Linked DNA regions of Cricetulus griseus. The protein of the gene in region 1 purifies or fractionates together with the protein of each later gene. This does not show direct contact. Links are inferred from orthologs where the notes say so. Each region holds a gene or a part of one and is shown on either strand. Other genes may lie near its edges.

Evidence for each region. The genes of interacting proteins can lie anywhere in the genome.
Region 2: the proteins of Haus5 (region 1) and Haus2 purify together in Homo sapiens (affinity purification with mass spectrometry; 5 studies listed by BioGRID and IntAct, with this or other methods). This does not show direct contact. The link is inferred for Cricetulus griseus from reciprocal best matches to the Homo sapiens genes HAUS5 and HAUS2.

The regions. Positions count from the first base shown.
Region 1 is NC_048602.1:5,155,449-5,159,739, reverse strand, and holds the start of Haus5 (HAUS augmin-like complex subunit 5), read right to left. Parts: upstream 2,801-4,291; 5' UTR 2,732-2,800; coding exon 2,631-2,731; intron 2,067-2,630; coding exon 2,004-2,066; intron 1,925-2,003; coding exon 1,892-1,924; intron 1,729-1,891; coding exon 1,704-1,728; intron 756-1,703; coding exon 650-755; intron 571-649; coding exon 411-570; intron 1-410.
Region 2 is NC_048599.1:57,857,603-57,860,437, forward strand, and holds part of Haus2 (HAUS augmin-like complex subunit 2), read right to left. Parts: intron 1,378-2,835; coding exon 1,269-1,377; intron 1-1,268.

The DNA of each region.
Region 1 (4,291 bases):
GCTTCTGAGGGCACCAGGCACACCCATGTTGCACAGACATGCGCGCTGGCTAAACACCCACATAAAATAAAAAACAATGCCCTCATGAGACTCAAAGAGTGTAGCGGCACTATTCCAAATCCTCCCCGGCGTGACACTTTCCTGTCACATTCAGAACAGCTGGCAGACATCTGAGCACTTTCCCGGATTCAGATTCACCTAATTCTTACACTAACTAGAGACGTTGAACATTATCGCCCTTCCGTAAATCTTAGAAATCCAGGTGCCCAAGATAATAGAACTCCTTATGCTGATGGCCCTTATGTTACAGCTGGAAGCTCAGAATTCTGGAAGCAGAAAGGGAGCAGGCAGACCACCGACCGGGGTCTCTGAGGAGAAGGTCTAAGCTCCCTGGGGAGGCTGAGCCCCACCTTTGCATGTCCTGCAGGTGACTGAGCTGATTCTGTAGCCTCTTCATGGGACCTTGCAGCCCACACTGCTGCCTTTGCACAGCCCTGCCTTTGGCCTGGAGGAGAAGCGTTCGATGCTGGGTTTCTTTCAGGCTCTGCAGTGTCTGTGCTATAGTCATGTCTGTGGGAGGAACAGGGGTGTGGTCAGCACCTCCCCCATCCAGGGTTTCACTGCCCATTTGGCTGGCCCCATAAGTCACCCTGAGCCTCAGTCTCTTGATCCATCAGCTCCAGGCTCTGGTCTAGCTTTTGGCTCTCTGCACGCAGGCGGGCCACAGTGGCTTCCAGCTCCAACTTCCGACGGACCTGGTGGGATCAGGTACAGGGTCAGAGGGACTTATTGGGGCCCAGCCTGGCTGGACTACCTTCTGGGATGGATGGCACAGAAGCACTAAGAGTCTAGCTGGCTCTCTCCCTCCTGGGATTACCTCACAATCTTCTTGGTTTTCTGTGTGGTATCTCCCATATCTCTGTCAAATGCTTTTTCTTATCGAGACAGGGTTTTGCTATGTAACTAGCTCAGCCTAGCCTTAAACTCACAGTCCTTTTGCTTCAGCGTCCAAGTGCTGGGATAAAAGGCAAGTACCACTACTGTAATTTAAGAAAAGTGGCTCTTGAGAGAAAGACGCCATGTTTTTTTTGTTTTGTTTTTTTTTTTTTTAATTAGGGACAGGCCAGTACAGATGCCTGAATACTAACGACCACCACACCCAGCTTCTGTCTTAATCTTCAAAAAAAATATGTGTGTGTGTGTGTGTGTGTGTGTGTGTCTTGTGCACACCAGTGGAGGCCAGGTGTTGGATCCCCTAGAACTGAAAATACAATTGGTTGCTAGCCATCTGCTCTGGATACTGGGATCTGAACTGGGGTCCTCTTCAAAAGCACCAAGTGCCCTTAATTGTTGACCATCTCTCTAGTGTCTTCCTCCCAGTCTTGACTTCTTTTTTGTGCCCCTTAGCAGCTCCCAAACCCATCCTTTCCCCATTGACGTTTGTCATTAAATTTAGCAGCTCCCTTTTAAGCAACTGCTGTCCTGATTGGCAGTTGCGACTCCCCAGCTACCAGTAATGGTTCAGCTCCCTATATTACCCAGCTTGTGCCTGTCTCCCCCTGGTTACAAATGCTGGGACTGCAAAGATCTGGGCTGTTTGGAGACACAGGGCCCCTGACATCCAGCACCTCTGGGGCCGAGAGCCAAATGTTTGCAAGCTCTTTTTTGGTTGAAGGAGAAATCTTACAGCACAGGCTTCTCACCTTTGAATTGTCCTGATGGCCATACCTAAAGAAATGAGAGCAGAGTTAGGGGATGGCTGGGGCTTCCAGAGTAGAGGGCAGGAAGCAGAGGCTATGGACGAGGGCATGGCTAGACGGGACTGGGGAAGACGGGGGTGGTGGGGGGTGGTGGGGGGGTGGGGGTGTGTGTGACATAAAGAAACAGTTACCAGAGGAGGTTTCCCCGGACCGTCTTGACACTCCTGCATTGGAGAGACAGAGGAAGAAGAGTTGCTGAGGCCTTTGACTATGGCTTCCCCTCCCTGCACCGGCTTGGCTTACCTTTGGCTACGCACGTGCTGCACAATGTAGGCCCAGATGTCGGCCCCCTGGCCCAGACACATCCTGAAGAGACAGGGCATAAGGTACGCTTGGGGCTATCGCCCAGGAGGAGGAAGACCCTCCACCATCCCACAGTGGTGGTGGTGGTGGTAGAGGAGGGCAGTCCCGAGAGTTCCCACTTCTGGGAGGAGGGGCCCGTGCTCCTGGGGGCGGAGGGTGCCAAAGAGAGGGCGGGCTTCTCTCTCTCGGAGCGTGAGGCTATTCCCATGCCACAGCGGCCTTCCCTCTGTCTTGAGGGAGAGGGCTGGCCTGAGGCCACTTCCGGAGGGGGATGCCCAAGTCTCCCCGCAGGAAACGGCCTTTCCTAACGGGGGCGATCAGGGGTCACTGTCCCTGCAGACACGGCCCCCGCAGGACGGCCCCTGCCAAGGGCCCGGTGTCCCCGGTGTCCCCGGTGTCCCCTTTGCTGAGGGTGCGGTGCTGCGGGGACCCCGTTAGCCCTGGACCGCCGCCGCAGGCGCCAGGGGCCCTGCCTGAATTACGCGGGGTCCCCGGGATCGCCACCCGGGCCCCCCCACTCCTTCTGCAGCGCCCCGAGGGCTGCGGACCCCAGGATGCGCGTCCCACCTGCGCAGCGCCGGCTCCCCGGGGACGGCCGCCCGGGGCGCCTCCATCTCCTCCGCAGCCCAGCGACTAAGCTCCCGCACTTTCTGCCTCAGGTCCTCCATGGCTGTCAAAGAGCTCTTCCCGCCCGCGACTCTTCTTTCAAGCCCGGCGCGCGGGCCTGACGTCACGGGCGCGACGCCGACGTCACCGGTTGCCAAGGCGACGGCGCAGCCTCCCGCTTCTAGGTCTCGGCGCAAGGACCAGAAGTCAGGTTAGGGATGGCTGAGAGCCGCCGTGTGGGTGAGGGGAATTAAACCGGGATTCTCGGGACGGGAGCCAGTGTTTCTTTCTTTTCTTTCTTTCTTTCTTTCTTTCTTTCTTTCTTTCTTTCTTTCTTTCTTTCTTTCTTTCTTTCTTTCTTTCTTTCTTTCCTTTCTTTCTTTCTTTTTTTTCTTTCTTCCTTCCTTCCTTCCTTTCTTTTTTTAAATCATTTTTTATTTGAATTACAAATAAGGTTTTATTACATGACAATCCCAGTTCCCTTCTCCCGGAGCCAGTGTTCTCAACATCTGAGCCGTGTCCCCGTCTGCTTTGTTGTCTTGAGAAAGGGGCTGTGAGGCCGGGCTGGCTAGAACTTGTGATCTTTCTGCCTCAGGCTCCCAAATCCTGGGTGACAGGCGTGAGCTACCGACGCTTGGAATTGTGGAATATCAGCTTAAGATGTGCTAGTTCGTTTATTCGGTGGAAAGATGTGTTCTTTAATGCTAACGTTTGCCTAACTCTGTGAAGCTGTGTTACCTTGCTTTCCTAAAACACCTGACGGGTCTAATAAAAAGCTCAGCAGCTGACAGCCAGGCAGGAGAGAGAAATAGATGGGGCCGCCAGGCAGAGAGAATAAATAGGAGGAAAAAAATCTAGGCTGGAGAGAACGGGAGGAGTGACAAGAGGAGGAGAAGAGGATGCCAGGGGCCAGCCACCCAGCCATTCAGTCAGCCACAGAATAAGAAGGAACGAAAGATATATAGATATATAAAGAAAGATAAAAACATAGTTAAAGAGAAACAGGATAAGTTAGGAAATCTAGCAAGGAACAAGCCAACCTAAGGCCAGGCATTCATTAGTAACAATAAGTCTCCATTTATTTATTTATTTATTTAATTTATTTATTTATTTAGGAGACGGGTGGCATGCCCCCAAAGAGAAAAAAAACAAAACAAACTAAAAAAAAATCAAACAAACTACAGTTTGCTTTCAAAAGCAGTGTCTCATGTCTGAATGGAGAATAAAAGGCAGAAAGGATAGCCTGTATATCTCGGTATGCAGTCTTCTGGGCAGGCTGGCCTCGAACTCACAGAGGTCTGCCTGCCTCTGCCTCCCGAGTGCTGGGACTAAAGGCATGCACCGCCACCGCCTACCTGGCTGTAGAGTCAGTTCTTGCCTTCCACATTTCCATGGGTCCCAGGATTGACTCTTGTTAGGCTTGCACAGCAAGCTCCTTTACCCATTAATGGGCCCATCTTGTTGGCTCCCTCAGATTTTACTCGTCATTTACAAAGCTGACTGTGCTCCGTGATTCTGGTGACACCGTGGTGACAGAGATGGGCTCAGTCCTCATTGTGGAGGGCTCACAAGTTCAGTGGGGGAGAGGGTGTTTCATGGGGTGGGGATGTTAAACCATAAGC
Region 2 (2,835 bases), on another chromosome or scaffold:
TATCTCTGCTCTCTGTTCATAACTTCTCCCCACTATTGCTATGGCCACATTAGTCTTTCTGACACATGTTCAGATTTTACTTATTCTTCAAATTAATTCTGAAAACTTTCTAAAATCTTTCTGTGTCCTATCCTGTTCCCAGTTCCTGTACCAAAAGTAGTTTTTCCTGTGATAAACAGTTAGCAACTCCTAATAATTTTATTTTATACTTATGTAAATGCAATCCTATGAAGTAAAAAGTATGTATCTTGCTAGGTGTGGTGGCATATGTCTAAAATCCCAGCACTTGGAAGGCAGTGGCAAAAGACAGTGAGTTTGAAGCCAGCCCCATTATATAGCAAGACTTGGGGGGGAGGGTGGGAGGAGGGAACCAGATGGCAAGGGAATAAAAAAATGGAAATGATGTCACAGTAAATTTTTTTGGTTTGTTTTTAAGACAAGGTTTCTCTGTAGCTTTGGAGGCATCCTGGACCTCACTCAGTAGACCAGGCTGGCCTTGAACTCACAGAGATCCTCCTGTCTCTACCTCCTGAGTGCTGGGATTAAATGCATGCACCACCACCGCCTGGCAGAGTAATATTTTTTAAAAAAGTTTCTTTTTGCTTTGAGACAGAATCTCATTTTGTAGCTTAAGCTAGTCTGGAACTTACTACATAGTGCAGGCTAGCCCCAAATTCCACAACAATTTTCTTCAGGCACCCAAGTACTAGAATTATTGGTGTAGGGCACCATGCTTGGTTAAGAAAATGTTTCTTTTGTTTTATGATTCTAATAATGACTACTCAAAGTGAAATTAGCCAAGCTCAGAAAGACAAACACCTTAAGTTTTGTCTCAAATGTGTATTCTAGATTTGAATTGTGTATCTGTGTGTAAAACAGAAACAGTGAAAGGAGAGAAAGACATATTAACAGATGAGAGGAGAGGGTAAAAAGAGTAAGAACACATGTGACATACAAATAAAAGGAGACACTATCCAGAGGAAGCTGGCAGGCTAGGAAGAACTGGATGGAGGAGACAGGAGGACAGCAGCAGATGAGAACACAGTACAACAAAGGGTAATCACACATCCATATGAGAATATCATGATGACATAAATACATTGCTTTGTTAATTTAGGAGTCTGAGGCTAGTCTGAGCTTTGTGAGACTATTGAAAAAATAAAATCAAAACCAAAAAGTTAAATGTGAAGGTTACACAGCTTTCTAATATATTCTAATATAAGAACTAACATATTCTAATATAAGAACTAAGGGCAGCTATTACTCACCATTTTCTTTAGGTTTGTATCTAAATGAGGGATATTTCTAATTGTTTCAAGATTGGTTTCCAACTTCTCGATGAAAGTCACAGCCAATTCCAACAAATGTACCATATATCTGAAAGAGAGTATATGGGTGAATGTAAATTTGTACCACAGGCTCCCGTGTTTGAACACTTGGTCCCAATTGGGTAATGCTGTTTGGGGACTTATTGGGCACAGGGACTAGTTGGTAGATATAGATAACTGGGGGCAGTCCTTGAAGGCGATCTCCAATTTCTGATTCATTAAGACGTGAGCAAGCCATTTCACAATCCTGCCACCACAGATGGAGTTGCACTAGCTGTGCATGTTACAGCTCTGAGGGGAAAGGATTCCCCAATGGAAGTGTTACAGCACTCCGGATGAAGGTTTCCCTACTGCAAACGTTACGGCTCTGCTGGGGGGCAGGGTGGGGTGTTTCTCCAGTGCAAGTGTTACAGCTGTGCAGGGAAAGGTACCCCGGCAGTCAGGAGCCAAGAACTACTACAACATTACATAGCACACGGACCTCACACAAGAGATGTGTAGGGAAAAACCCAGGAGGGTAGCTGCCTCTACTAGGGTGAGGGGTGAGAAGCAGTAGAGAACTGAGCAGAAGACAGAGTTTATATAACATTTCTTGGGGACGGAGCTTTCCAGAGTGGGGCTTGGTGGGTTTCCAAGTCCAGGGCATTAGTGTTCTGTGGGTGGAGCCTAGTGGTTGGAAGTCCTCAGGGGCAGGGACCATCCACTTGAACACCAACCACAAGGCCTTCCCTACAATGTTGGATGCACTACCTCTAAACTGTGAGGCAAAATAAGCCTCTCCCCAACTAAGTTGCTTCTGTTGGGTATTCTGTGACAGTGGTTAGAAAAGAAAAGCAATACAGAGAGAAAGTAAATTAGCTTTTCTTTTTATTTATTTATTTATTTATTTATTTATTTATTTATTTATTTAGGTTTTTCAAGTCAGGGTTTCTCTGTGGTTTTGGAGGCTATCCTGGAACTCCCTCTGTAGACCAGACTGGTCTCGAATTCACAGAGATCCTCCTGCCTCTACCTCCTGAGTGCTGGGATTAAAGGTGTGGGCCACCACCACCAGGCCAGTTTTTGTGTCTTTTACTGTTTTTCCTTTGTTAAATTTCAATAGAATTTTTATATATAGACAATAATAAATGTACTTCATAGAAAACAGTCTATACATAATAAAACAGATTTTACTGTGCTGCATGTTAGGGATCTAATATTTTTCTTTCTTTCTTTCTTTTTTTAAGATTTTATTTATTTATTATGTATACAGTCTTCTGTCTGCATGCCAGAAGAGCTCATCAAGTCTCATTCAAGGTGGTTGTGAGCCACCATGTGGTTGCTGGGACTTGAACTCAAGTCCTCTGGAAGAACAGTCAGTGCTCTTAACTGCTGAGCCACCTATCCAGCCCCGGGAACTAATATTTTTTAACAAACCATAATTTATAATTTCTAAAACACAACTGGCAAAACAAAGTCCTTTTTTTTTTCCAGTTATAATTATTTAAAAACAAAGGGCACTATCTAA